3 linked regions of the Stegostoma tigrinum genome follow. The protein of the gene in region 2 interacts with the protein of the main gene of each other region in a pairwise test. Links are inferred from orthologs where the notes say so. Each region holds a gene or a part of one and is shown on either strand. Other genes may lie near its edges.

Region 1 (10,494 bases), on a different chromosome or scaffold from region 2:
TGGAACCATCAGTCCAATGTGTATTTAACTGAAAGCAATGAGTATAACAGGTAAAGCAATTGATACTTAGAGCTTAGATTAGTACATGAGACTACAATGTCGTAGCCACTGCAGAAACTTGGCTGAGAATTGGGCAGGTCTCACAGCTCAATGAACTAGAGTTGAGACAGGGATATAAAAAAAAAGGTGAGGGAGTTGTATTAATGATCAAGGAGAATATCCTCGTCCAGTACAGCTGGGACATGATGAAGGATTCATCCAAAAAGAGGTCAAATGGGTAGAACTTAAGAATAAGATAGGTGCAATCACTTACGGAGTTAGAATATTGGCCTTGCAATAACCAGGAGATAATCAAACAGATATATAAGCAGATCAAGGAAAGATGGAAACAAAAAAACAACAACAAACAGGTTGTTGTCATGGGTGATTTCAGAGTCCCAACATTGATGGGGACTTGCTTACTGACAGGGGCGAAGATGGGGCAGAACCTGTTAGGTGCCTCCAGGGAGGTTTCTTGAAGCAACCTGTAGATAGTCCAACTAAGAAAGGGACTGTACTTGACTTTGTACGGGAGAATGAACCTTACCAGGTGATCAAAGTTTCTGCGGGAGAACATTTTGGGAACAGTGATCATAATTCAGTCAATTTTAAGATTGTTGTGGATAAGGATAACACTGGTCCTTGGGTGAAAGTACTAAAATTGAGGAAGGCTAATTACAACAGTATTAGGCAGGAATTGGAGAATTAGATCGGGAGCGACTATTTGAGAGTTAACCCACATCTGATATGTGCGAGTCTTTTAAAGGCCATTTGATGAGAGTTCAGAACCAGCATGTTCCTGTGAGGATGAAATACAAGGATGGCAAGATTCAAGCACGATAAATGACAACAGATGTTGAAAGCTTAGTCTAAAAGGGTAAAGAAAGCATAAGTAAGGTTTAAGAAACTGAAATCAAACAAGACCCTTGAGGGAGCAGAAAAGAACTTAAACAAGGAATTAGGAGAACTAGAAAGGGCCATGAAATGGCCTTTGCAAGTAGGAATAAGAATAAGGAGAGTCCAAAGGCATTTTATACATATATTACGAGAAAGAGGCTAAGTGGAGAAAGGGTAGATTCAGTCAAGGAGAAAAGAGTAAACTGGTGCAGAGTAAGAGAAAGTGGGTTACGTCCTTAATGAGTAATTTACATCGGTGTTCACAAGTAGTAAAAGGATGATGGGCAACATTGATGTGCTGGGGTATGTCGATGTTAAGCGGTAGTGTTGGGTAACTTGAAAAACTCCGAGATAGATACGTCCCCACAGCCTTACAGGATTTATCCTATGATACTGACAGAGGCAGGTTAGAAATTGCTGAGGTCTTTGGCTATTTTGTGACCCCACCTATGGCTAATATTCTTCCTTTGTGAAGGACAACGGGGTTACCACATGAAATTATAGATCATTGAGTCTTACATCATTGGTAGGGAAATTACTGGAAAGCAATTCTTAAGGACAGGATTTACTTGCATTTGGGAAAGAGTCGACTTATTAGGGATAGCAATGGCTTTGTGCAGGGGAGATCTTGTCTCTCAAACTTGAGGAGTTCTTTTGTTGAAGTGACAAAGTTGATTGATAAGAATGGGGTAGTGAATGTTGTCAACATGGATGTTACTAAATGTATCAACAAGGTCCTTCATGGTGGGCTGGTCCAGAAGATTAAGTTGCATGGGATCCATGATAATATCGCAAATTGGATACAAAATTGGCTTGGTCAAAGAAGACAAATAATAGTCATGTTTTTGGGGGAGGGGTGGTGGGGGAGCTTTTTATGAGTGGAGTTCTCTGACAGGTGGTGTTTCGCAAGGATCAGTGTTGGGAATTTGGTTGTTTGTAATATATGTAAATAGCTTAGATGAATATGTAGACTGTCCAATTAGTAATTTTGCGGACGTGCAAAATTGGAGTTGTGGACAATGAGGAAGTTTATCAAGGGATACAACCGGCTACAGATCAGTTAGAAAGCTGGGTGAAGAAACGACAGATGGAGTTTAATCTGGAGCAAAAAGACAGTTGCTGGAAAAGCTCAGCAGAACTGGTAGCATCTGTGGAGGAGAAAAAAAAGTTAGCGTTTCGGGTGCGGTGACCTTTCCTCATTTTACAGCATCCGCAGTTCTTTTGGTTCTTATTAGAGTTTAATCTGGACAAGCTGAGGTGATGTATTATGAAAAGTCAATGCAAGAGGAAACTATACAGTAAATAGCAGGACACCCAGGTGCAAAGGGATGTAGAGATCCAAGTCCATAGCTTCCTGAAAGTGATTTTTTTGATCACGGTCACGTTGCTGTTTGTGGAATCTTTTCATGCATAATTCGGCTATGTTTCCTATATTACCAGTTTTGGGAAGAAGTTTTGTTCTGGAAATAATATTGAATCTTCATTAAGATTTGAGATTATAAGGATATTGCTGGGATAAACAGACTATCTTGAATTCAAAACATTTTGCAGGTGCTTGCACTGAAATCTTTATAGCCTTTTTTGTCTAATCCAATACAATTCAATTTTTTTTGTTTAATAAACATGTTACATGGTCAAAGAACACTTGCAGATTCGTATAAATGTGTTCAGCAACTGACTTACATAGTTAAAAAGGTTACAGGTTACCAACCCTGGGATATGACTTGTTGAGCATTAACATCAGCTCGGATCATAAGAGTCTGAAAAAATATGGAGCGTGGGAGGAAGCACGTGAATTATACCTATCAAAAGCATATTCACATTGTCATTTTTTTTCCATATTCACTTTGAAGGCAAGAACAAAATAGTTCTAAACTCAGTAATTTGAGTAACTTGATTTCTCAGCAATTTAAGGGTGGATGCACCAAACTTGCTCACCTGAATTAGCTTATGTTGTAACATATTTCAAGTGAAGATTAAATCTAACTTAAAATGTGACGAACAAATCGTACACCAAGATATCACATTTCCAATTATGACAAGGAAAACTTGACCAAATGGTCATAAATCAACAATGTTTCTCTCTGTCTCCAGTCTTGACATCATATTCAAGTAGTTTAATATCATTTTCAATTGAAAAATTCACACTAAAAAGTAAAGCTTCATCTCAGATCATAAACATCAACACAATACACATATGCTTATGGTGGGCAAGTGGTGACAGTGGCAGTGTTAAATTCAGAGTTCAAATCCACAATAGCTGCTGATAAATTTAAAGTTAATAAATAAATGCGAAATAAAAAAAAACAGTAAAGGTGGCTGTCACAACTATTCATTATTGATTGCTTCAAAGAAAATCTGTCACCCTTACTTTATCCAACCTCATGTAACCCCAGTCCCTCATTAATGTGGCAGGATCTTAACTATGCGAGCCAGCCACTCAGTTCAAAGCTCCCTCTGCATCCCAAAACCAGCCCAGCTTGCCCCAGCCTCCATATCCTGTTCTTTCTCTCACCTATCCCCTCCTCCCAGCTCAAGCCACACCTCCATTTCCTATCTACTAACCTCATCCCACCCCCTTGGCCTGTCCGTCCTCCCCGGACTGACCTATCCCCTCCCTACCTATACTAACCTCTACAGGCTCCATCCCCGCCCCTTTAACTTGTCTGTCTCCTCTCCATCTATCTTCTCCTCCATCCATCTTTGATTCACCTCCCCCTCTCTCCCTATTTATTTCAGAACCCTCTCCCCATTCCCTTTTTCTGATGAAGGTTCTAGGCTCAAAACATCAGCTTTTGTGCTCCTAAGATGCTGCTTGGCCTGCTGTGTTCATCCAGCTCCACACTTTGCTATCTCAGACAACAAAAGCTGGTTTTGCCAGACATGCCCATACCCCAAAAAGGAATTTTTGAAAACTGCTCACATAAAAAAATAATTAACTAGTACAAGAAAAGGCGGTCACCTGATTAATTTCCTTTACGATGTTTAGCTTTAAATAGGGTAGGCAATGGCCTAGCGGTAACATCACTAAACTAAAAATCCAGAGACCTAGTTAGTGTCTTAGGGATCTGGATTTGAATCGTGCCGTAGTAAATGGTAGAATTTGAATTCAATAATAATCTGGAAAGCAGGGCCCATTGGTGATGCTGATGCAGATTGTCAGGAAAAAAACCCATCTGGATCACTAATTACCTTTCGGTAAGGAAATCTACCATCCCTACTTACAGACAAAGGCAACGTGGTTGTTTCTTAACTACCCTCTGGGCACTTAGGGATGTGTAATAAATGCTGGTCTAGCTTTAGATGCCCACAACCCACAAAGGAATGTAAAAAACCTCTTTCACATCATGACAATGCATTCTTAACTCATTATGCAAATTGTTACAAAGAACTCCTGACTTTTCTCCCCCATGCTCAATGTATTAAAATTATTTTGCAGGTTCCTAATTGACTTAATTATTTCCAGAACAAAAAGCTAAGCAACTCTGTTTGTAAAATCTAATTTAGCTTGATCTAATCATTACATCCTTCATTTTTTTTTGACTTTAGTAAAGTCATGCACTACAGACTTTGGCTATCTCACCAAGGAAGATTTATTTTAAATTTTGTGTTCTGCACTAATCATATCACTCCTTTTGCTGTAAGTCATATTCATTTCCATTGTTGGGTATTTACCTGGACTTCTGCTCAAGGTTTTGAGAAGGATGAACTAAATCCATGTGCACCTGAAAAAAAAACATTTTGTTCACATATCAACACAAAACTTAGCCCACTGTCAGTGCTCCAAAATAAAAATACAGACGGTGAAAATTTGAAATCAAAGCAGAAACGTTGCTAACACTCAATGCAGAGAGAGAAAAGGAGAGCGAGCAGAGGAATACATAGAAACATACGGGATTTCTGGAATTGCTTACTTTCAAAGCTTCCTTTCTGGCGTGGGAGGAGGTTATCCCCTTTGCATTCTCAGCTGTTTCTTCTTCTTTCTTTCACCCTCCCACCTAATTCTTCTTCAGTGAATTAGATGTAGAAAAAGGGCTTCTTTGGGGTAAAGGCAATCAGCCATCTCACCTGGTTGGCTAGCTTGTGAAACTTCCAGTTCTTGAACAGGTGCCCTTATTTTCACTAGGTTCAGAGGATGCTCCCCACTTTGTTCAAACAGTTTAAATTAAGACTCTTCTCCCTCTCGCCCATCTAACCTTTTTATGTTTGAAATTTTAACCTTCTCTATCTGATCAGAATGTTTACCAGGGCTACCTTGTCTGTTTTGGTTCTAAACTTAGCTCTGGTTCTCCAAAATCAAACGTGAGGATTGTCCTCTAGCAAACTGAAAATGAGCAATGCCCATAAACTGTTCCAATTTATTTCACTCTGCTCTAAAAACCCATCGGCCTTGACAGTGAACATTTGTTTACACTGTAGTTTACAAGAGACCTTTAATGGCATTACTAAAATTAAATAATCAGGATTGACTCAATCCCTAGATAACAAGGTGTAGAGCCAGATGAACACAGCAGGCAAAGTAGCAGAGGAGCAGGAAAGCTGACATGTCTTCAGAAAGAAGGGTTTAGGCCAGAAACATCAGCTTTCCTGCTCCTCTGATGCTGCTTGGCCTGCTGTGTTCATCTGGCTCTACACCTTGTCATCTCAGATTCTTCAGCATCTGCAGTTCCTACTATCTTTGATTCAATCACTACTTCTGATTACATTCATTCATTTGTGGGTTCAATGCCAGACTCGAGTGCCCAAATATTTGTTCCTGTCGGGAAGAGTGTTCCAAAGACTGACATTTGTGGGGAAAAAATAAGTTGCTTTCTCACTGTCCATTCAAGTGGGCAATCTCGTGCTTCAATGGTAATCCGTAGTTCTAGACTCTCTTGTAAAAGAAAGCATCCTCTCCACATCTCTTCTGTCAGGAAGCCTTATGACTTTTTTTAAAAAGCCAGATTGCTTCTTATTCTGCTAACATTTTAATAGGTATAAGCCTATGCTGTCCAACTGTTCACATCAGCTATTAGTTCAGTAAACCATCTTTGAACTGCTTTCAATGAATGTCATCCTTCTTTAAACAAAGGTGATCAAGAGTACCCCATATAATAAGCATAACTTCCTCCCTTTGTATTTAATTTCCTTGCAATGAATGATAATTGTATTAGCTTTCTTAATTTTCTGTTATAGCATACGTATAGAAGGTTAGGAAAATGGAGTGGAGGATCATTACATCAGCTATGATCTCATGGAATATGTTTCACTAATGAGCCAAATGGTCTAATTTTGATCATACAGCTTATTTTCCTACTGTTTTTGCAGTTCTTGCCAGCTCTCTCTTCTATTCTAATTTTTCCCTCTTTTTGGTCATTATTTCTAAAATATTTCAATCTTCATCCTATCACTTAACTTTGTATCATTGCATATCTTTTGTTTCAATTTGATAACACCCTTAATTTTCTTAGATTGCCAAAAATGTTGTGTCTCTCAGTCTTTGTTTCTCAATGGAAAATATGTTTGTTCAGAGTTTTGAAATATCTCCATAAACGTTTGTCACTTATCTCCTTTCAACCTATTTCCGAGCATTTATTTGCATTTATGAATCCCAGTTCTCAGGATTCTTACATAAATGATATACCTGTATAGTGAAGAAACTATGAATTCTGTTTTATTACACATTGCCCAGTATAAAATTGGCTGCTACCTGAATTGATCTGGAATGTATTAAAAGAAACACTGCCCTGAATACACTATGAGTTCATCGCCCAAACTATTTTTGCTGATTTCATTCTTCCGATCCGCAAGATGATTCAAATTGCCAAGTGGTAACATTTTTCTTACAAGTTTTCATCATGTTTTTATTTTTAATCAGGCCTACAATGTATCTATTGTTATGGCATAAACAATTCCAATAGGTAACTTTTTTTGCTGTTCCTTATTTCCATACAAACCAATTCTAAATCACGTTCCTCCTAAAGTAAAATAATTGCTCACTACTATCCTGATCTCATTCATTTTTTTTAAAAACAGATTTACCCCATTCCTTATATTTAGTGAAGCTCAGGACTCAGATGAGATCAGTTCATAACCTCAACTTGTAGTGGCAGTCACATCATGCTAATCTGTTTCTATTAGTGCCATCATTTCATCCAACCAGTGACAAATGAAGCATGCATTCAGATTAAGCACATTTAATTCTGAAACAAAAAACAAAAATTACTGGAAAAGCTCAACAGGTCTGGCAGCATTTGTGGACAGAAATCAAGAGTTAACATTTTGGGTCCAATGGCAGCTGGGAAAATGTTGGTTTTTATGCAGAAGACAGCGTTGGGCAGGGAGTACAAAGTAAAACAGTAGGTGGAGAGAGAGTCCAGAGAGGAGAGGACAATTGAACCAACAACAGAGTAGATAGCAACCAGGTTATGAGGATGTATAGCTGTTAATAGGGATTGTTCATGGCTAACAATGGGTTATGTGTAATAGTAGACCATGTGACAACAAGGCCTGGTATATGGGGGGTTGGGGTATGGACATGGGAGAGCTTAAGCCCGGAAATTGTTGAACCTGAGTTTCTAGAAGGGTGTAGAGTTCCCAAGCAGAAAAATGAGGTACTGGTCTTCCAGCTTGCACTGTAGAATCCATAAGCTCCACAACTTTGCTGGAGCACTACAGCAAGCCTGAGACAGAGATGTTGGCAGGTACAAGGTTGTGTGTTGAAGTGGCAGACAACTGGAAACTCAGGGTCTGTTTTGCGATAGATGTTCTCCGAAGCAATCACCTAGTCTATGCTTCATTTTGCCATTGGTGACATTGTGAATAGCAAATGGAGTAAACTAGATTAAAGTGCAGGTAAAGCACTGCTTCATATGGAAAGTGCATCTGGGCCCTAAAAACCGTGAAAGGAGGAAGTAAATGGACAGGTGTTACATCTTTTATAGTTGCAGGGGAAAGTGCCATGGGACTGTGGGGGAGAATTTGGGAGTGAAGGAGGAGTGGACCTGGGTGTCTTGGAGGGAATGGTCCCTGAGGAAGGCTAACAAGGGAGGGGAGGGGAGGGGAATGTCTGCCTGGAGATGGTGGTCTTAGTGGCTAATGATCCTCTGGATGTGAATGATGGGGGCTTAGTTGGTACGAATAAGGGAAACCCTACCACGGTTGTGGGAGAGGGGATGAGGGCCGAAGTGTGGGAGATGTGTTAGACCCAACTGAGGGCCTTGTCAACTACGGTGTTCGGGAATCCGCAGTTGAGAAAGAAAGTGGATATTTCAGAGGTACCTATGTCAAAGTTGGCATCATCGGAACAGATGCAATGCAGACAGAGGAATTGGGCGAATGGAATAGAAGCTTGACAGGAATTCTGTCCTTTTACTATTTTTCCAGGTGCACTCTTCCATTTGTACACTCTGTGCCCTCGTGTCACATAGTGAATACAAAAGTCAGGAGATAACGATTACTATATGGAGCATGATTGCCATCCTTCTTTAACAAAGGTGACCAGTCATTGGAAGCAGTTCAGTGAAGGTTTACCAGACAAATATGTGACAATGAATAGGTTGGACAGGCTAGGCTTGTGCTCATTCCCCTGAATAGAACCTTGTGCTATTGCCAAATGATAGTATTTTCCCAAGCATTTTGGTAGCTTTTCGGGGCAGATTTGGCACATATTTTGGAGAGATGATTACTAACCATTTCTTACTTTGGATAGTCTCTTAAAAAAGACAGTTTTTAATTTCTACATAAAGTAGAATCCATAAGAGCATCCAAGCAGGTTTTTTCCTCTTTCTTTCATACATATGTGTAATTTGGCTTTCAAGAATCCCCAATAACTGAGATTTAAATTTTAGTCAATTCATCACTTTTCCTTTCCTATGCGCAATTTAACTTTTCAGTCAGCCTAGTACGAATAATGCAGCATAGTGAACCTCTTAATACTCACACCACCACATTGATGTTAATCCACAGATGGACATACATGGCAAAAACACATGTTCTGGACTAAAAGTTTGTAAAAAAAAAAATTCTCAGATCACCTTTACATTCTATTCACTTGTAAGAATAAAGGCCATTCTTGACAGTCAAAAACATAAAACTCACTTTATCCATATACGTGTGTCGGTTTATCCCTATTCCCTTTTCTGTCCCTGTACAAAAGTCAAAAGATAATTAAAGGTGAGGAAGGTAACTTATCCACTTCAATTCACCTATTCAAAAAGATGTCATTATATGCAAGTATAATAGTGAATTGCTTGTCCATTGATTTGAGTATTTATTTTCAGGAAGTTTATTCTATAATCCACATTTGATCATGTTTTGCATGACAAAATTTCCTAATATGCATTTTAAAGACTATGTTTGTCTAGTATGAACTACCCGAGTCTCTGCAGTACTCAGTTAACCAAACCCAGTAATCCCAGGTCCTGCTCCGTTGAACACAATTCGACTAATACTTGTTCTTTCTTACCTTTTAGTTAGCTGTTTAATCCATTCCTAAAGATTATATTAAATCCCATACATTGAATTTAATTAACTACATGTGGAATTTAGTTCAAAGTTATAGCAAGTACATCAAATTACAATCCAAACTATCATCTCAAATATTTAAGGAGCTCATCTGAAAAGAAGCTTTAAAATCAAAATATTTTTAATTATTCACATATCCTAAATGCAGTCAGGTGCTTTTATTAGGTCTCGATAGAAAGTTTTCCTATGAACTGAACAGCAAGCTGGCAGCTATTTGTTTCTCCTTGTGTATTGAAACAGCTTTGATAATGTCCTCTGCAAGACTCCTTCTGTCTCAAGAGTCATTTTGAGATGATGATTCTATTCAGGGGCTAGAGCCACAGTTTAAATGAGGAGTGCCCCCTGCTTAAATTCTAGAAAAAGAAGGCAGCCACATTTCCCTTTGAAAAGAAGGGCACACACCTAACTCCCTGCATCTCTGTGAAGGGCAAGGACCTGCAACAAAGAGTCCAGGCACCTCATACCCCTTCATTTTTGCCAATATAATACTAAGTTCATGGACACGGCTATAGCACGGAGGCCTGTGTCAATCACTAGCATCTAATTAGAGTTCTGCCAGAGCTATTTTTCATTCACACTCACTAGTCGCTGAGAAGAATACGTGCAAGGCTAACGACATCGCAACAGTCTGTTAGCACTGGGTAATGAGCCTGGCCAGGTGTTAGATTTGGAAGTAGGTGAGCACTTTGGTGATAGCAATCACAATTCTGTTATGTTTACTTTAGTGATGGAAAGGGATAGGTGTATACCACTGGGCAAGAGTTACAGCTGGGGAAAAGGCAATTACGATGAGATTTGGCAAGATTTAGGGAGCATAGGATGGGGAAGGAAATAACAGGGCATGGGCACAGTAGAAACGTGGAGCTTATTCAAGGAAAAGCTCCTGTGTGTCCTAGATAAGTACGTACCTGTCAGGCAGAGAGGAAGCTGTAGAGTGCGGGAGCCGTGGTTTACGAGGGAGGTGGAATCTCTGGTCAAGAGGAAAAAGGTGGCTTATGTTAGGATGAGATGTGAAGGCTCAGTTAGGGCACTTGAGGGCTACGAGGTACCCAG
Region 2 (10,333 bases):
GAAAGAGCCCCAATTATCCAAGAATCCAAAACCCTCCCTCCTGCACCATCCTTGTAGCCATGTGTTCAACTCCTCTGTCTCCCTATTCCTCGCCTCACTAGCACGTGGCACGGGCAACAAACCAGAGACAACAACTCTGTTCGTCCTAGCTCTCAGCTTCCATCCTAGCTCCCTGAATTTCTGCCTTAAATTCCCATCTCTCTTCCTACCTGTGTCTTTGGTGCCAATGTGGACCACGACTTGGGGCTGCTCCCCCTCCCACTTAAGGATCCCAAATACACGATCAGAGACATCACGCACCCTGGCACCTGGGAGGCAACACACCAACTGTGAGTCTCTCTCGTCCCCACAGAACCTCCTATCTGTCCCCCTAACTATGGAGTCCCCGATGACTAATGCTCTGCTCCTCTTCCCCCTTCCCTTCTGAGCAGTAGGGGCAGACTCTGTTCCAGAGACCTGTGCCCCACTGCTTTCCCCTGGTAAGTTGTCCCCCCCAACAGTATCCAAAACGGTATACTTATTGTTAAGGGGAATGGCCACAGGGGATCCCTGCACTGCCTGCCGGTTCCCTTTCTGTCCCCTGATCGTAACCCATCTGCCTTTTTCCTGTACTTGAGGAGTGACTACCTCCCTGTAACTCCTCTCAATAACCCCCTCTGCCTCCCGAATGATCCGAAGTTCATCCAGCTCCAGTTCCCTAATGCGGTTTTCAAGGAGCTGGAGTTGGGTGCACTTCCCGCAGATGTAGTCAGCAGGGACACTAGTGGTGACCCTTACCTCCCACATTCTGCAGGAGGAACATTCAACTGCCCTGACCTCCCTTCCCATGACTTAAAAAAAAAGAATAAAAAATAAACTTGTTAACTTACCAATCAGGCACACAGAACTTTTTTTTTGGTTAGAGGAGGAGGATGGGTGGGAGATACTACCAGGGTAGTGTTTCGGGTAACGCAACCACAAATATATTACCTCACTCACTCACCAGTCCTGTGTCCGCTCCTGCTCAGCGTACCTCCGCCTATTCACGAGGTAAGCTTTTTAAAGATTCAATAACCGTGACTCACCGGCTTCCCGAGAGGCCCCTGCTCCAAGCTCCCGCTCGCGCTGCTGCTGCAACCAGAAGAGAGGGGAATGGGGAGAGGGTTCTGAAATAAATAGGGAGAGAGAGGCAGGCCGAAGATGGATAGAGAAGATAGGTGGAGAGGAGAGTATAGGTGGGGAGGTAGGGAGGAGATAGGTCAGTCCGGGAAGGACGGACCAGAGTTGGCAGAAAAACTGCTCGATGTTCAAACGTGAGTGGTACTCATTGATGTGACAGCCCAAAGTGACCTATCCCCTCCCTAACTATCTTCTCCTCTACCCATCTTCGGTCCGCCTCCCCCTCTCTCCCTATTCATTTCAGAACCCGCTCCCCATCCCCCTTTTCTGGTGAAGGGTCTCAACCCAAAACATCAGCTTTTGCGCTACTAAGATGTTGCTTGGCCTGCTCTGTTCATCCAGCTCCACAGTTTGTGATCTCGTAAACTCCAGGAGAAGGCAAGTTTCTGGCACAGGCTGTGATGGAGGCACTGTGGATCAGCGGTTCGCACTGCTGCCTCACAGCGCCAGAGACCCAGGTTCGATTCTACCCTCAGGACTGTCTGTGTGGAGTTTGCACATTATCCTCGTGTCGGCATCGGTTTCCTTCTCATGGTCCGGTTTTATCCCACACTCCAAAGACACTGTATTCACAGAGCTTACCTTCCTGTTTGTGAGGGGATGTCAGATACTGTATTCACAGAGCTTACCTTCCTGTTTGTGGGGGGCAGTCAGATACAGTATTCACAGAAATTACCTTCCTGTTTGTGAGGGGCAGTCAGATACTGTATTCACAGAACTTACCTTCCTGTTTGTGAGGGGCAGTCAGATACTGTATTGACAGAGCTTACCTTCCTGTTTGTGGGGGGCAGATAGGTACTGTATTCACAGAGCTTACCTTCCTGTTTGTGGGGGGCAGATAGATACTGTATTCACAGAGCTTACCTTCCTGTTTGTGGGAGGATGTCAGATACTGTATTCACAGAGCTTACCTTCCTGTTTGTGGGGGGCAGAGTTAGATACTGTATTCACAGAGCTTACCTTCCTGTTTGTGGGGGGATGTCAGACACTGTATTCACAGAGCTTACCTTCCTGTTTGTGGGGGGCAGAGTTAGATACTGTATTCACAGAGCTTACCTTCCTGTTTGTGGGGGGATGTCAGATACTGTATTCACAGAGCTTACCTTCCTGTTTGTGGGGGGCAGAGTTAGATACTGTATTCACAGAGCTTACCTTCCTGTTTGTGGGGGGCAGAGTTAGATACTGTATTCACAGAGCTTACCTTCCTGTTTGTGGGGGGCAGTCAGATACTGTATTCACAGAGCTTACCTTCCTGTTTGTGGGGGGCAGAGTTAGATACTGTATTCACAGAGCTTACCTTCCTGTTTGTGGGGGGCAGAGTTAGATACTGTATTCACAGAGCTTACCTTCCTGTTTGTGGGGGGCAGAGTTAGATACTGTACTCACAGAGCTTACCTTCCTGTTTGTGGGGGGATGTCAGACACTGTATTCACAGAGCTTACCTTCCTGTTTGTGGGGGGCAGTCAGATACTGTATTCACAGAGCTTACCTTCCTGTTTGTGGGGGGCAGAGTTAGATACTGTATTCACAGAGCTTACCTTCCTGTTTGTGGGGGGCAGTCAGACACTGTATTGACAGAGCTTACCTTCCTGTTTGTGAGGGGCAGAGTTAGATACTGTATTCACAGAGCTTACCTTCCTGTTTGTGGGGGGCAGCGTTAGATACTGTATTCACAGAGCTTACCTTCCTGTTTGTGGGGGGCAGTCAGACACTGTATTCACAGAGCTTACCTTCCTGTTTGTGGGGGGATGTCAGATACTGTATTCGCAGAGCTTACCTTCCTGTTTGTGGGGGGCAGAGTTAGATACTGTATTCACAGAGCTTACCTTCCTGTTTGTGGGGGGCAGTCAGACACTGTATTCACAGAGCTTACCTTCCTGTTTGTGGGGGGATGTCAGATACTGTATTCACAGAGCTTACCTTTCTGTTTGTGGGGGGATGTCAGATACTGTATTCACAGAGCTTACCTTCCTGTTTGTGGGGGGCAGTCAGACACTGTATTCACAGAGCTTACCTTCCTGTTTGTGGGGGGCAGATAGATACTGTATTCACAGAGCTTACCTACCTGTTTGTGGGGGGCAGAGTTAGATACTGTATTCACAGAGCTTACCTTCCTGTTTGTGGGGGGCAGTCAGACACTGTATTGACAGAGCTTACCTTCCTGTTTGTGAGGGGCAGAGTTAGATACTGTATTCACAGAGCTTACCTTCCTGTTTGTGGGGGGCAGCGTTAGATACTGTATTCACAGAGCTTACCTTCCTGTTTGTGGGGGGCAGTCAGACACTGTATTCACAGAGCTTACCTTCCTGTTTGTGGGGGGATGTCAGATACTGTATTCACAGAGCTTACCTTCCTGTTTGTGGGGGGCAGAGTTAGATACTGTATTCACAGAGCTTACCTTCCTGTTTGTGGGGGGCAGAGTTAGATACTGTATTCACAGAGCTTACCTTCCTGTTTGTGGGGGGCAGAGTTAGATACTGTATTCACAGAGCTTACCTTCCTGTTTGTGGGGGGCAGTCAGACACTGTATTCACAGAGCTTACCTTCCTGTTTGTGGGGGGCAGAGTCAGACACTGTATTGACAGAGCTTACCTTCCTGTTTGTGGGGGGATGTCAGATACTGTATTCACAGAGCTTACCTTCCTGTTTGTGGGGGGCAGAGTTAGATACTGTATTGACAGAGCTTACCTTCCTGTTTGTGGGGGGCAGAGTTAGATACTGTATTGACAGAGCTTACCTTCCTGTTTGTGGGGGGATGTCATACACAAAGGGTTTCCTGTGGGAGAGGGGGAGGGGGAAGAGTATAAAAAATAAATACACCAGTGAACACGGGAGGTGACAGAGCGCCGACGGTAACAACAGCTGACAGGGGTGGGAGCGCACGGCCCCGGCTCCTTACCCGCTCTCCCCGAGCGTGACGCCCGCGATGCGGGGAGGCGATGAGCCGCCGCCGCCGCCGCCGAGAAACACGAGGGAACCGCAACGACCCAACGCCATCTTCACCTATTCACTTCCAGCCAGCTTCCGGCGTACCCGGGATTCGGGTCCGGGTCATTTCCGGCGTCCCCGGTGGTCGGGTCCGGGTCATTTCCGGCGAGGCTCGGTCAGTGCTGAATGTGAAGATGGCGGCGGCGCTGTGGGGATGCAGGCTCGGCGGTTTGCGGCAGGTACAGAGCCTGAAGCCTTGGCCTGTCCTCTGGCTGTGTCAGGGGCATGTCGCGGCCTGTGTGTGTGTGTGTGCGCGCGCGCGCGGGACAGGCCGCGGGCTTCTCTCAGACCCACATTTACCGGGCACGGCCCTGTGTTTACAGTTAATACCCGGGGCGGGCCCGGTGTGAGCCCCCCGCCGAGGGTGACTCCAGGGGATGGGGCCGTTCCTGGTTTTTGTCGCCTGTCCCCAGTCTCCGCTGAAGGGAGTACGTCATGTGAAGTTAGTGGGATCTTGCTGTGCTCTCAGAATGGCCAACTGCCTGACTTTCGCGGGGATTGCCTCATTCTCTGGCGGTTCTCCTTAAGGTGTGGATTGTTTTATTCTTTCAGCTCAGCCGTTGGGAAACGGAGACTGGGAATGTTGTTCACTGTGAGAGCCACCCCCCTCACCAGAGCCCCCACCCGCCTCACCTCCCTCATCACCAGCAAACCCGCTCTCCCCAGCTCACCCTGCAGTCATAGTTGCTGGTGTTGCCGATCACGGTCACGTCCCACAAAAGCCAGCCTCATCAGAGTTGGACACCCTGACAATTCCACATTACAACAGAGATAGCAATTCAGAATGTCCTTAATTGGCTGTAAGACCGTTTGAAAAGTCCACTGGTCCTGAAAAGTGCTATGTAAATGTAGATGTCCAAGTTTTCAAACATTCAATTTGTAGTGCAGAAGTTGAACAGAGAGTTGCATTTTCACAGCTTTTTTCGTTGGACCCATCAAAATTAAATGTAAGAATAGCAAATTAAAGCAGTTGCAGCAACTTTCAGGAGAAAAATGACTATTTGTGGTCAAATCAATTCTGATTCCCTTCTCCATTGCAACATCTCAGCCAATGTAATACTATAGATTTCCACACTCTCAGGGAATTTAAAATTGGTGCAATGTTTGAACATTTTCGTTTTGCTTGCAGAGAACAGGACCGAACATTTGCCATTCACTTCTCTGTGGCAAACCTTTCACCAGAGTCAACTTACATCCAGTCAACAGTTTCTTTTCCATGTCGTGTAAATTTTATGATTGAAATTTGGCATTCATGCCTTCGTCCTCATGTCTGTAAAGTGAAGAGTTAAAACATGCCTCGATTTATTGTATATTGTCTTATCAATAGAATATTTGATGATTTTGGAATTTCAGGTATTGATGGTGAGGTCGGGGTTTCAAGCAGTGACTCTCACTACCAAGGCTACAGCTCCACAAAAGAAGAAGAAAGTTAAGGGTAAGGAATGTGAATGTTGTCCATAACTAGGAATTGTAGCCTCATACTGGGCACTTGAGAGACCCAACAAGAAAACATTTGGTATTATAAATAAAGACCAAAAATAAACTTGCTTTGCCTTCTCTGCCAACACACCATGCAGAATATTAACAGCATTGCCTACTTCAAGAGTTAAAAATAAGAGACACATAGATGTATGAGTATTTTTTTGTACGGACACCTATGTGAAATCCAGACCGTTTGCCTGGTTACAGGTCCGGGGCTTATTAGTTACAGGTTAGTGACATGGAGCTATTGGTTCAGGTTAATTGTTACTGATTAGCGGCCTGGAAATACAGATTATACTTTGGATGTTGATCTACTTTCAATTTTACAAATGGAGACTTTTTTTGTGGGATGTGGGGCATCAACAAAAAGCTTGGCTTCTCACATCTTCCTTAAACTTTCACCTTCAACTTCCCCACAGTTTAATACAGCTAAATGGCTTGCTGGGCTACTTAAGGGACACTTCAGAATCAAACACTTTGCTGTGAGTTTGGAGTCACTTCTAGGCCAGACCAGGTAAGGGCAGAAGATTCCCTTCACATAAGGTAGACCATTTGTTTTGTTTGGGCCTCTGGATGAACACTGCAGTAACATCACCACATTGAGTTACTGTCAGGCAGTGGCTAGTACCATTCTCCATGGACTGGGTTTGTTTATTCTTCATATGTTCATTTGAAAGGTGAAGAAAGTATTACATTAGCACGTAATGTGGCCATTTTGCCTTTGGGACAGTACTGGTTCTTTGAAAGAGCTCTTTGCCCCTAGCCATGTTAGTTCATCATCCTCTAAAAGCTCTCCAACTGCCTTATGGAATTTGAGATCAGTTTCTACCAGCATGCAGCACGGTGGCTCAGCGGCTAGCACTGCTGCCTCTCAGGGCCAGGGACCCCAGGTTCAATTCGACCCTCGGTCTGTGTGGAGTTTGCACATTCTCCCTGTGTCTGCTTCCTCCAGGTGCTCCGGTTTCCTCCCACAGTCCAGAGATGTGCAAGTTAGGTGGATTGGCCATTCTAAACTGCCCATAGTGTTCAGGGATGTGTAGATTAAGTGGGTTTATAGGGGGATGGGTCTAGGTGAGATGCTCTGAGGTTAGGTGTGGACTTATTGGGCCAAAGGACCTGTTTCCACACTGTAGCGATTCTATAATTCTGTGACTCTTTTCAGGTCTAGTGCTCCAAATCTGACAACTCTCTGAGAGGAACGTTCTTTCTCCTCTCTAGATCTTTTTGCAATGATTTGAAATCTTCTGGTTATTCCTGGAGGGAATGGATTGTCCACCTTCTTATGATCCCAGTTGACAGGAATACTGGATGAGTCAGAACTCTGTTCCCTTTTGGAGGCTTTTACACCTTTGCTGAAGTGTGGTGTAAATGAACGTAATACACGAGCTGAGGTGTAATCTGTGATTCGTAAATTTCCAGTACAATCTCTTCACTTTCATATTCCATCCTTCTATTTATAAACACAGCTAACCCTCATACTGGTTTAATCACTTTACCTTCCAGCTTTAAAGATGTGTGTTCAGGGACACTAAAGTCTGTCAACTCATAGAAATAATACAGCACAGAGGGAGCCATTTGACCCATCTTGTCCATGCCGATCCAGAGATACCCAGAAGCCCTTTCTAATCTCACCTTCCTTCACAGCGCCCATAGCACTGCAGCTTACAGCACTTAAGGTGCAGATATAGGGACTTTTTGCAGCAGTTTAGGGTCTCTGCCTCCACCACCAACTCGAGCAGCGAATTCCATGCAACCAATACCCTCTGTATTTAAAAAATAAGCTTTTGTTCACTTGCCTCCTAATCCTCCTGACACTTAGCCTGAATCTATAACCCCTGCATAAAATATCAGCAGGTATCCCAACACTGAGCTCTGAGGAACATCATGTGAAACAGCTTTCCGTTCTGAAGGGCAGCCATCGACCATTAGCCTTTGTTTCCTGTTACTAAGCTAACTTTGGATCTAATTTGACACATTACCCTGGATCCCATGGGCTTTTACCTTTTGGATCAGTCTAGTTGTGGGATCTTGTCAAATGCCTTACTAAACTCCATGTAGACAATATCCACATTGATCCTCTTGTCACGTCCACAAAGAATTCAATCAAAATTTGTAAAGGTATGACTTTCTCTTACAAAGCTATGCTCTCCCAGACCAGCCCATGCCTTCCTCTCACGATTGATTCTAGCAATTTGCCCACCACCAAAACAAAACTTAACTGATCTATAATTGTTTGCCATTTTCCTATTTAAATAATATATTTGCTTTCCTTCAGCACCTCGCCTGTGTCTACTGAAGATTGGAAAATAAGCCTCAGAGCACCTGCTATTTCCTCACTGACCACCTTCAACATCCCAGGGAACAATCCATCCGGCCCTGGCAACTTTTCTACTTGCGAGGATTCCAACTCCTTGAACATTGCCTCTTGTGTTATAATGTTGTCCAATATTTCAGACTGCTCCTCTTGGGTTATTATATCCACATCATCCATTTCCTTTGTGGAGATGAAAAAAATCATCTAAAATCCTTTCCATCACCCACTGCATCTTCACACAAGTTCCCCTCTTCATCTCTAGTAGGTTCCACTTTTTCCTTAACTATCCTTTTGCACTTTATATACCAGTAAAACATCTTTGGGTTTTCCTTGGTCTTGCTTGCTAATATTTTTTCATGCCGTCTCTTTGATTTCCTTATTTCTTTTTAAACTTGATCCTTGTACTTACTATACTCCTCCAGGCTATCTACAGAGCGAGCTTTCTTTTTCTGTTTAATCTCGCCCTGTACTTTTCTAGACAGTGATGGGGATCTAGATATGGTAGTTCCATTCTAATTTCTGGAGGGGACATATCTGTTTTTGTGCCATAAGGATCTCACATTTAGCGCCTCCTCCCCCCGGTATACCATTGATTTCTCCTTTAGCAGTCCTGTCCAGTCTACCTCACCTCAGCCAAATCATTTCTCATTGTAACATTTACCTCCCCATTGCCACAGTGTAAAACCTTTCTTCCTGATTTATCTCTGTCCTTACCCACACTAACATGAGCACGAGCCAAATTGTAGCCACTGTCCTGGCATGGTCGCACACTCACTTCACCCACTTGTCTATCTTCATTTCTCAAAACTAAATCTAGAATTGCGTCTCCACTCATTGGGCTTGTCACGTATCATTTCAAAAAAGGTTCCTGGACACACACTATGAATTTTTCACCCTCGGTGCCCTTTATATCATTTATAGCCCAGCTGCTATTGGGATATTTAAAGTCTCCTGCTGTTCTTGCCCTCTTATTCCTACAGGCAGAAATGTGTCTACGTGTGTGTTCTTCTATCTCCCTGTCATTATTTGGGGCTCTGTAGTGTATTCCTAGCAGTGTGACTGCCCCTTTTTTAATTTCTCAGCTCAACCCATAAAGCCTTATTTGTTAACCTGCTTCATATACCAGCACCCTCCCCCCAACCCCCCCGAAAAACTGTAATTGATTCTTTAATCAATACAGCTACCCCTCTCCATTTTTGTCACCCACTCTATCCTGCCTGAAAACTCCATATTCTAGTATGTTGAGCTGTCAGTTTGGTCCCCCTTTAACCAAGTTACAGCAACAACACCCTGCTTCTGTGTGTCTGTCTGTGCCCCTAACTAACTGCCTTGTTTGTAATATTCCTCGTCTTGAAGTTTAAACAGCTCAACCTTGTCAGTTCTCTTTGAACATAAGTAGGAGCAGGAGTAGGCCATTTGGCCCATTGAGCCTGCTTCAGTATTCAACAAGATCATGGCTGATGTGAGACTCTTTTTCCGAGGATGATGACTTCAGCTTGTACAAGGGGGCATAGCTACATATTGAGGGGTGATAGATTTAAGACATGTCAGAGGCAGTTTCTTTACTCAGAGAGTGGTAAGGGTGTGGAACGCGCTCCCTGCCAATGTAGTTAACTCAGCCACATTAGGGGCATTTAAACAGCCCTTGGATAAGCATATGGATAATGATGGGATAGTGTGGGGGGGGTGCTTAGATTAGTCCACAGGTCAGCGCAACATCGTGGGCCGAAGGGCCTGTTCTGCACTGTATTGTTCTATGTTCCATGTTCTCATGGACTCGGCTCCACTTGCTCACCTGCTTGCCATAATCCTGAATTCCTTTGCTCTTCAAAAATCTATCTCTCTTTGCTTTAAAAGTATTCAATGAGGCTGAACTGCTTCACTGAGCAGGGAATTCCACAGATTCACAATCCTTTGGATGGAGAGGTTCCTCCCCAGCTCAGTCCTAAATCTGTTTCCCCTTATTTTGATGCTATGCTCCCAAGTTCTAGTTTCACCCGCCTGTGGAAATTACCTCCTAGCTTCTATCTTGTCTATTCCCTTCATAATCTTAAATGTTCCTATAAGGTCCCCCCCTCATTCTTCTAAATTCCAATGAGTATAGTCCTAGTCTACTCAATCTCCTCTCAAAAGCCAACACCCTCAAATCAACCGAGTGAACCTCCTCTGCACCCCCTCCAATGCCAGTACATCCTTTCTCAAATAAGAAGATCAAAACTGCACACAGTATTCCAGGTGTTGCCTCACCAGTGCTCTATACAGCTGCAGCATAGCCTCCCTGTTTTCAAACTCCATCCCTCTAGCAATGAAGGGCAATATTCCATTTGTCGTCTTAATTACCCACTGCAGCTGCAAACCAACTTTGTGATTCATGCACCAGGACACTCTGGT
Region 3 (10,445 bases), on a different chromosome or scaffold from region 2:
GCCGTCAGGCAGTGGTCAGCACGTAGTATCCTCAGGACCCTTCGGGAAAAGGAGAGGGTGGATCCCGTCGTGTGGTTCCCCACGCAGACTGCCAAAGTCGTTTGGCAGAATGCCTCATCGCCAGAACTTTCAAACAAGCACAAGGACATTGCTTGGCTGGCAGTGAGAGGGGCTCTGCCAGTGAGATCCTTTATGCATGCCCGGAATCTCTGCACCACCGCACGCTGCCCTCGAGGTGGCTGCGGGGGGGACGAGACTGTTGATCACCTCCTTCTGGAGTGTGCCTATGCGCAGGAGGCCTGGAGGGGGATGCAGTGGTATTTGTCGAGGTTCGTCCCGAGCAGCTCCGTGACGCGGGACTCCGTGCTCTACGGGCTGTTTCCGGGGACGCACACCGAGACCAACATCAACTGCGCCTGGAGGACCATCAATGCGGTGAAAGACGCTCTTTGGTCTGCCCGCAACTTGCTGGTCTGCCAGCTGAAAGAACTGACCCCGACCGAGTGTTGCAGACTGGCGCACTCCAAGGTCCAGGTCTACGTGCTGAGGGACGCGCTAAAGCTTGGGGCAGCCGCCGCCAAGGCGCGGTGGGGAAAGACCACCGTATGAGCCCCCTCGTCCAGAAAAGGGAAAAGAATCCTATCTGGTAACTGGGCCCAGCTGGCGCCTTCCCCAACTGGTCAGGGGGCCAACTGGGACTGTGCGGGGTGACGACTGCCGGGGCGGTTTCTTTGCTTTGTTTTGTTTTTTTCTGTTTTGTTTTTTTTCCTTTAGTTGGTGTGCGTACCCCCGGATAACCCGGAGTGGCTTGCGTGACTGGGTAGGTGTATAAATGTTTTATTTTTTGTACATTCTATGAATAAAGTATATTTTTTCAAATAAAAAAAAAAGGTGACGAAACGTCTGGGAACAAACCTTCCAGCTCAGTGAGCAAACTCACATCTAGTCAGTATGTTCCTCATCAGCCCATGAATGCTTGGTTGGGGAGTTTGGAAGTGAACATTCACCAAAGCTAGGACTTGCAAAGTTTCCACAAACAAAGGTCTGATTATGGAAACCGCAACTGATTTGTTAATTTTTAAACTGAGCTGGTAGAATTTTATTCAACCAAAGTATTCAGGGATATGAGATGATGAAATGTGAGGCTGGATGAACACAGCAGGCCCAGCAGCATCTCAAGAGCACAAAAGCTGACGTTTCGGGCCTAGACCCTTCATCAGAGTGTCTGGGCCCGAAACGTCAGCTTTTGTGCTCCTGAGATGCTGCTGGGCCTGCTGTGTTCATCCAGCCTCACATTTTATTATCTTGGATTCTCCAGCATCTGCAGTTCCCATTATCACTATTCAGGGATATGGTTCAACAATCGAAGTAGGTAAGTCATGGCTTGAAGGAATAAATTGCTTCTCCTGTTCCTATCAGAATCCCTTCACTATAGAGACCTGAAAATGTTCATGGAAGCCACCTGTCCAAGAAAGATTGGTGTTAGTCAGCATGCTGGGGGCATATTTTTTAAGTGAGAGGAGAGAGTTTTAAAGGGACATGAGGAGCAATTTTTTTTTTACAGCGAGTCATTCATGTGTTGAATAAACTACCAGAGGAAGTGGTGGATGCAGGTACATCGCAAACTTTAAAAGACATTTGGACAGTATATGAATAGGAAAGATTTGGAGCGGTATGGCCAAACACAGGCAACTGGGAGTAGTTTAGTTTGGGAACATAGCTGGTATGGACCAGTTGGGCCAAAGGATCTGGTTCCATGCTGTACGACTCTATCATATCCCAGGAATCAAGGACTGCCCTATGGCAGTTTTGAGCCGTTAAAAGTTCAATATTTTCTGTTGAAGGGTCTAGGCCTGAAACATCAGTATTTGTGCTCTTAAGGTGCTGCTTGGCCTGCTGTGTTCATCCAGCTCCACGCTGTGTTATCTCGGATTCTCCAGCATCTGCAGTTCCCATTATCTCGAATATTTAAAATATGTTCATTTCCTTTCCATCTCATCAGGAACTCTCAAAGTTGCAAAGTGCTTGACAGCTAATATTCACAAGACATTGAAGAAAAACTGGATTGGTTGGCCCTATTTTCACACACGTTGAAAAAGGTGGGGAGGAAGTTTCAAATAAACTTGTAAAATTTTAACTGCACCAAACAGAAAGGATGCGCCCAATGAAGAGAGATCCCAGACAAGGTACAGTGTAGGTCATTTTGGGCTGATACAAAGAGGAGTTTCTCCCCCAAGAGAATGGCGAGCCTGTGGAATTCTCTGTCATAGTGGATGAAGCCAGAACAGTGAATGTTTTCGAGGAGGAGTTAGGTAGAGTTCATAGGGCTAAAGGGATCAAAAGCATGTGGAGAAAACGGGAATAGGAGACTGATTCAGATAATCACCAGCGATCATATTGGAGATAATGGGAACTGCAGATGCTGAAGAATTCCAAGATAATAAAACGTGAGGCTGGATGAACACAGCAGGCCAAGCAGCATCTCAGGAGCACTAAAGCTGACGTTTCGGGCCTAGACCCTTCATCAGAGATCATATTGAATCACTTAGTCGGCTCAAATGGCCCACTCCTGCTATTCAGTGAAATTATCTTATAAATGTAGAAATACAGTCACTACTTCACAGGTACTAACAACTCAATTCTTGAAACAAGGTACCATGTTTTTAAAAATCACACTGCTATTTCAGTGATTCAGCAGCACTCCCTCAGCACTGACCCTCCGACAGCACAACGTTCTTTCTGCACTGGGAGTGTTTGCTCAGATTATCTGTCTGTACAGGCTACACAGTTGTACAGGGTCGGATACTAAAGTTTCAAACCACTGACTGAGAGACAAAATACAAATACTCCAGCATTATGAAACCATCGGCGAATCCTTTAAACACATCAATTCGCCCCTGTACCTAAAAAGCACACCTGAGGGACAACTTCTTTGCACAGAGGGTGGAGTGTGTACAGAATGGGCTGCCAGAGGAAGTGGTGGAAGCTGATACATTACAACACTTAAAAGGCATCTGGATGGGGACATGATAAGCAAGGGTTTAAGAGGAATATGGGCCAAATGGGACTAGATTTATTCAGGATGTCTCGTTAGTGCAGACAGCTTGGACCAAAAGGTCTGTTTCCATGCTGTACATCTCAATGACTATTGATTGTTTGAGAATGTGGGGTTACAGAATCAAGGGTGGGGTGGGTGAGGGTAGAAAATAGTCTGGGGAGGGAGTGGGGAGGGAGAACTGCTGTGGGTGAGGGAGTGGGGGGGGAGAACTGCTGTGGGTGAGGGAGTGGGGGGTGGCTGCTGTGGGTGAGGGAGTGGGGGGGGCTGCTGTGGGTGAGGGAGTGGGGGGGGAGAACTGCTGTGGGTGAGGGAGTGGGGGGGGGCTGCTGTGGGTGAGGGAGTGGGGGGGGGGCTGCTGTGGGTGAGGGAGTGGGGGGTGGCTGCTGTGGGTGAGGGAGTGGGGGGGGCTGCTGTGGGTGAGGGAGTGGGGGGGGCTGCTGTGGGTGAGGGAGTGGGGGGGGAGAACTGCTGTGGGTGAGGGAGTGGGGGGGGGCTGCTGTGGGTGAGGGAGTGGGGGGGGAGAACTGCTGTGGGTGAGGGAGTGGGGGGGGCTGCTGTGGGTGAGGGAGTGGGGGGGGCTGCTGTGGGGGATTACCAAGTTGAAGACACACCGCCCCCCTCCCCACCGAGTTCCAGAGCATTCCCCCCACCTTTCCTCCTCTCCCCCCACTTCCCCCTATCCTCCGCCGGGTTCCAGAACATTCCCTCCACCCCCGGTACCCGCCGCGCTCACTCTCTCACCATTCCGCTCCCGCTCCGCCGCCCGGCTACCAGCTCTGCCCCGCACTCAGGACCTCGACACCGCCCCGCACAGCTGTCCCCGTCACTGCCTGCACGCTACCGCGCCTGCGTGCGAGCCCAGCATCCCCTCCTGCTGGCGGGAGTGGGGCACTGCGGGAGCAGACACTCCTTGAATCTGTGCAAATGGCAATGACAACACCAGGCAAAAAAAAAGTTGGAGGGTAAGGTTAAGAGGACTGAAGGACGGACTTGCATTTATTCCCAGATTTTCACCACTTCTGGAGGCTTCAAGGCAGAAAACCAGGAATCTTTTGTCACAACTCACTGGGTTCGTGCACTTTCAGCTTCCTGTCGATTTACCTCTTTTGTCAACAGTTTGGTTCCAAAGATTTGGATCCTTCTCCAGTTAAAGACTTTGATTAACTCCTGTGGCTCTTATTGTAATTATGGGTCCAGTTGCATCATTATTTAAAAAAAATTTACAAAAAAAACCTTCATATCATTCGTATCTGCTGTTCCCGGTGTGGCCTCCTCTACATCAGAGAGACCAAGCGGAGGCTTGGAGACCGCTTTGCAGAACACCTACGCTCGGTTCGCAATAAACAACTGCACCTCCCAGTCACAAACCATTTCCACTCCCCCTCCCATTCTTTAGATGACATGTCCATCATGGGCCTCCTGCACTGCCACAATGATGCCACCCGAAGGTTGCAGGAACAGCAACTCATATTCCGCTTGGGAACCCTGCAGCCCAATGGTATCAATGTGGACTTCACCAGTTTCAAAATCTCCCCTCCCCCAACCTCATCCCAAGGCCAGCCCAGCTCGTCCCTGCCTCCTTGAGATAGCAGGAACTGCAGATGCTGGAAAAGCTGAGATAACAAGGCGTAGAGCTGGATGAACACAGCAGGCCAAGAAGCATCAGAGGAGCAGGAAGGCTGACATTTTGGGCCTAAACCCTTCTTCAGAAAGCAGGAATTGCAGATGCTGGAGAATCTCCTTGATCTGCTCCTCCCACCTTACTGACCAACCCCCCACCCCCACTTCCTACCTCCTCGTCTCATACCCACCTCCTTGACCTGTCCATCTTCACTCCCACCTACCCACCCCTCCCTCCTCATTGACCAACCCCCATCCCAACTCCCTACCCACACTCACCTGTACTGGCATCATCATCAACTCCTCTCTGTCTTCTCTCCCACCTGTCTGCTCCACTATTCATCTTCTATCATTGCCTCCCGCTCTCTCTATTTATTTCAGAGCCCCCTGCCCTCCCCATTTCTGAAGAAGGGTCCAGACCTGAAACATCAGCCTTTCCTGCTCCTCCGACGCTGCCTGGCCTGTTGTGTTCATCCAGCTCCGTACTTTGTTATCTCAGAGTCCAGCATCGGCAGTTCCTACTATCTCTTCATATCGTTTGCCTGCTTGCCTTTCTTTCGCTTTCTCAACTCCCATCCCTCTCCTGTTTCATGGGGAGATGGAGAAAACACTTTAACTAATGGATCAGCTCAAAATGTAGCTGCAAGATGTGAATGCATTGGGAAGAGTGCAGAAGTGATTTACAAGCTTCAGGCGGTGAGGCAATGACCTGGTGATGCTATTGCTGGACTGTTAATCCAGATACCCAAGTGATATTTTGGAGACATAGATTAGATTCCCTACAGTGTGGAAACAGGCCCTTCGGCCCAACAAGTCCACAGCACCCCTTGAAGCATCCCACCCAGACCCATCCCCCTATAACCCACACACCCCTGAACACTACGGGCCATTTAGCGTGGCCGATCCACCTAGACTGCACATCTTTGGACTGTGTGAGGAAACTGGACTACCGGAGGAAACCTACGCAGACACGGAGAGAAGGTGCGAACTCCACACAGATGGTCGCCTGAGGCTGGAATCAAACCTGGGTCCCTGATGCTGTGAGGCTGCAGTGCTAACCACTGAGCCACTGTGCCGCCATAATACATAGGATCATGTCACATCACAACAGATAGTAGAATTAGGAGTTTAACGATAACCATAAATCCATTGTCGATTGTTGTAAAAATCTGGCTCACTCATATCCTTTAGGGAAGGAAATCTGTCGTCCTTACATAATCTGGTCGATGTGTGCCTCCAGACTCAAAGCAATGTGGTTGACTCTTAACTGCCGTCTGGGCAACTGGCTGCACAATTAATGCTGGCCTAGCCAGAGATGAATGAATTTTAAAAAGGCTTCAGCAATGAGGAAAATTAAATGATTTACTCTGTCCAGCTCAGTCATGATTTTGAAAACCTCTAACAAATCTCCCATGCAGCTTCCTTCTCTCCGAATAAACCACAGAACATAGAACATAGAAAAGTACAGCACAGTACAGGCCCTTCAGCCCACGATGTTGTGCCATGGAATAATCCTAATCCAAAATTAAAATAACCTAACCTACATTCCCCTCAATTCACTGCTGTCCATGTGCATGTCCAGCAGTCGCTTAAATGTCACTAATGACTCCGCTTCCACGACTACCACTGGCAAAGTATTCCATGTGCTCACAACTCACGGGTGAAGAACCTCCCTCTGACGTCTCCTTCCTCCTAACACCTTAAAACTATGACCCCTCGTGGCAGTCAATCCTGCCCTGCGGAAAAGTCTCTGGCTATCGACTCTATCCATGCCTCTCATTACCTTGTACACCTCGATCAGGTCACCTCTCTTCCTCCTTCTCTCCAAAGAGAAAAGTCCGAGCTCAGTCAACCTCTCCTCGTAAAACAAGCCCTCCAGTCCAGGCAGCATCCTGATAAACCTCCTTTGCACCCTCTCCAAAGCCTCCACATCTTTCCCATAATAGGGCGACCAGAACTGGACACAATATTCCAAGTGTGGTCTCACCAGGGTTTTGTAGAGCTGCAGCATAACCTCGCGGCTCTTAAACTCGATCCCACTGTTAATCAAAGCCAACCAGTCCGAATTTTTTTAATCTGTCCTCATCACTGAGTTCCTTATTGCTGGAATCATTCTTGTAAATGCATTCATATCTGTCCTGTAATGAACTGATTTGCCGAACAAATCCGGTGGCATTTTCAAGGAGGTGACTAAATGGTAGATGAGGGTAGGGCAGATGATAGAGTTAATATGGATTTCAGCAAAACCTTTGAGAAGGTCCAATATGGGAAACTGATAAAGGAAGTTAAAGCTCACAGGATCTAATGTAACTTAGCAAGTAGGATGCAAATGGAAAAATGTCTTGGGTGGTGGGGTCGGATTGTAGGATGCAAAATGAATGACAGGAGACAGAGGGTGGTGGTAGAAAACTGTTTGTGTAATTGGACCCCAATGGTTGGAGCCCAATGTGGAGTGGCATACCACAGGAATCTAGTGCTGGGTCCACTATTGTTTGTGATATTCATAAATAATGTAGATGAGAATGTGGGAGAGATGATATGCAGGCTTGTAATTGACACAAAGATTGGCCAAGTGACTGATGGTGAGGAGGAAGGTGTTAAGCTACAGGAGGATATAAACAACAAAATGTGAGGCTGGATGAACACAGCAGGCCAAGCAGCATCTCAGGAGCACAAAAGCTGACGTTTCAGGCCTAGACCCTTCATCAGAGAGGGGGAATGGGGTGATGGTTCTAGAATAAATAGGGAGAGAGGGGGAGGCGGACCGAAGATGGAGAGAAAAGAAGATAGGTGGAGAGAGTATAGGTGGGGAGGTAGGGAGGGGATAGGTCAGTCCAGGGAAGACGGACAGGTCAAGGAGGTGGGATGAGGTTAGTAGGTAGATGGGGGTGCGGCTTGGGGTGGGAGGAAGGGATGGGTGAGAGGAAGAACCGGTTAGGGAGGCAGAGACAGGTTGGACTAGTTTTGGGATGCAGTGGGTGGAGTGGAAGAGCTGGGCTGGTTGTGTGTTGCAGTGGGGGGAGGGGACGAACTGGGCTGGTTTAGGGATGCAGTTGGGGAAGGGGAGATTTTGAAACTGGTGAAGTCCACATTGATACCATTAGGCTGCAGGGTTCCCGGGCAGAATATGAGTTGCTGTTCCTGCAACCTTCGGGTGGCATCATTGTGGCACTGCAGGAGGCCCATAATGGACATGTCATCTAAAGAATGGGAGGGGGAGTGGAAATGGTTTGCGACTGGGAGGTGCAGTAGTTTGTTGCGAACTGAGCGGAGGTGTTCTGCAAAGCGGTCTCCAAGCCTCCACTTGGTTTCCCCAATGTAGAGGAAGCCACACCGGGTACAGTGGATGCAGTATACCACATTGGCAGATGTGCAGGTGAACCTCTGCTTAATGTGGAATGTCATCTTGGGGCCTGGGATAGGGGTGAGGGGGGAGGTGTGGGGGCAAGTGTAGCATTTCCTGCGGTTGCAGGGGAAGTTGCCGGGTGTGGTGGGGTTGGAGGGCAGTGTGGAGCAAACAAGGGAGTCACGGAGAGAGTGGTCTCTCCGGAAAGCAGACAGGGGTGGGGATGGAAAAATGTCTTGGGTGGTGGGGTCGGATTGTAGATGGCGGAAGTGTCGGAGGATGATGCGTTGTATCCGGAGGTTGGTGGGATGGTGTGTGAGAACGAGGGGGATCCTCTTTGGGCGGTTGTGGCGGGGGCGGGGTGTGAGGGACGTGTTGCGGGAAATACGGGAGACGCGGTCGAGGGCGTTCTCGATCACTGTGGGGGGAAAGTTGCGGTCCTTGAAGAATTTGGACATCTGGGATGTGCGGGAGTGGAATGCCTCATTCTGGGAGCAGATGCGGCGGAGGCGGAGGAATTGGGAATAGGGGATGGAATTTTTGCAGGAGGGTGGGTGGGTGGGAGGAGGTGTATTCTAGGTAGTTGTGGGAGTCGGTGGGCTTGAAATAGACATCAGTTACAAGCTGGTTGCCTGAGATGGAGACTGAGAGGTCCAGAAAGGTGAGGGATGTGCTGGAGATGGCCCAGGTGAACTGAAGGTTGGGGTGGAAGGTGTTGGTGAAGTGGATGAACTGTTCGAGCTCCTCTGGGGAGCAAGAGGCTGTGCCGATACAGTCATCAATGTCCCGGAGGAAGAGGTGGGGTTTGGGGCCTGTGTAGGTGCGGAAGAGGGACTGTTCCACGTAACCTACAAAGAGGCAGGCATAGCTGGGGCCCATGCGGGTGCCCATGGCCACCCCCTTAGTCTGTAGGAAGTGAGAGGTGAGGATATAAACAGTCTGGTCAGATAGGCAGATCAATACAGATAGAAAAGACAAGAGAGTACTCAATGAATGGCAGTACACTAGGAAGCTCAGAGGAACAGAAGGATCATGGGATGCATGTCCACAGATCCCTGAAGGTGGCAGGACAAGTTAATAGAGGAGTTAAGGTGACATACAGGATACTTGCCTTGATCAGGCTTTGCATTGATTATAAAAGCATGGACATCACTTTGGAGCTGTGCAGGACTTTGGTTAGGCCACAGCTGGAGTACCGTATGCGACTCTGATCACCACATTGTAGGAGGGATGTGATTGCACTGGAGAGGATGCAGAGGAGATTCACCAGGATATTTCTGGGATGGAGCATTTCAGTGATAGAAAGGTGGACTGCACCTCGCAGTTGCGAACCATTTCAACTCTCCCTCCCAATCTTTGGATGACATGTCCATCCTGGGCCTCCTGCAGTGCCATAATGATGCCACCCGAAGGTTGCAGGAACAGCAACTCACATTCCGCTTGGGAACCCTGCAGCCCAATGGTATCAATGTGAACTTCACAAGATTCAAAATCTCCCCTCCCCCAACCGTATCCCAAAACCAGCCCAGCTCGTCCCTGCCTCCCTAACCTGTCCTTCCCCCCACTTATCTCCTACTCCCACCTCAAGCCCCACCCCCACCTCCTACCTACTAACCTCATCCCGCCCCCTTGACCTGTCCTTTCTCCCTGAACTGACCTATCTCCTCCCTACCTCCCCACCTACACTTACCTTACTGGCTCCATCCGCGCCTCTTTGACCTGTCTATCTCCTCTCTACCTATCTTCTCCTTTATCCATCTTCTACCCGCCTCTCCCCTCTCTATTTATTTCAGAATCTCCTTCCCCTCCCCCATTTCTGAATAAGGGTCCAGACCCGAAACGTCAGCCGTTTTCCCCCAGCTCCACACTGTTTTATGTCAGACTCCAGCATCTGCAGTTCTTACTAACTCTCTGAATAAAAACATTTCTCCTCATCTCACTCACAGCTCTCTTGTTGACAATCTTGAAGTTGTGTTTCCTGGTTACTGACATACCATCTAGTGGAAACAGAATATCCTTCTTTACCCTGTCAAAATTATTCATAATTTTGAACACCTCACCTAGGTCAACTCTTATTTTTTTTCTGCTCCTAGCAGAATAACACCATAAGATATAGGAGCAGAATTAGGCCATTCGGCTCATTGGGTCTGCTCTAACATTCGATCATTGCCAATGTGTTTCTCAACCTTATTCTCCCGCCTTCTCCCTATAACCTTGAGTCCCTCATCAATCAAGAAATTATCTATCTCTGTCTTAAATACACTCAATGACTTGGCTCTACAGGTCTCTGCAGCAATGAGTTCTGCAGATTCACCACCCTCTGGCTGAAGAAATTCCTCCTCACATTAGTTCTAAAAAGTGTACCCTTCACTCCTAGGCTGTGCTGTTGGGTCCCAGTCTCTCCTACTAGCGGAAACATTT

The links.
Region 1: the proteins of wdr4 (region 2) and protein FAM118A-like interact in binary tests that used the Homo sapiens proteins (3 or more experiments, as listed by UniProt). The two-hybrid records come from large-scale screens. The link is inferred for Stegostoma tigrinum from reciprocal best matches to the Homo sapiens genes WDR4 and FAM118A.
Region 3: the proteins of wdr4 (region 2) and rabggtb interact in binary tests that used the Homo sapiens proteins (3 or more experiments, as listed by UniProt). The two-hybrid records come from large-scale screens. The link is inferred for Stegostoma tigrinum from reciprocal best matches to the Homo sapiens genes WDR4 and RABGGTB.

What each region holds. Positions count from the first base shown.
Region 1 is NC_081371.1:20,273,880-20,284,373, forward strand, and holds the start of protein FAM118A-like, read right to left. Parts: upstream 4,677-10,494; coding exon 4,612-4,676; intron 1-4,611.
Region 2 is NC_081365.1:948,649-958,981, reverse strand, and holds the start of wdr4 (tRNA (guanine-N(7)-)-methyltransferase non-catalytic subunit wdr4), read right to left. Parts: upstream 4,217-10,333; 5' UTR 4,156-4,216; coding exon 4,058-4,155; intron 3,935-4,057; coding exon 3,896-3,934; intron 1-3,895. UniProt on the Homo sapiens protein: Non-catalytic component of the METTL1-WDR4 methyltransferase complex required for the formation of N(7)-methylguanine in a subset of RNA species, such as tRNAs, mRNAs and microRNAs (miRNAs).
Region 3 is NC_081361.1:100,986,025-100,996,469, forward strand, and holds the start of rabggtb (geranylgeranyl transferase type-2 subunit beta), read right to left. Parts: upstream 3,884-10,445; 5' UTR 3,803-3,883; coding exon 3,800-3,802; intron 1-3,799. UniProt on the Homo sapiens protein: Catalyzes the transfer of a geranylgeranyl moiety from geranylgeranyl diphosphate to both cysteines of Rab proteins with the C-terminal sequence -XXCC, -XCXC and -CCXX, such as RAB1A, RAB3A, RAB5A and RAB7A.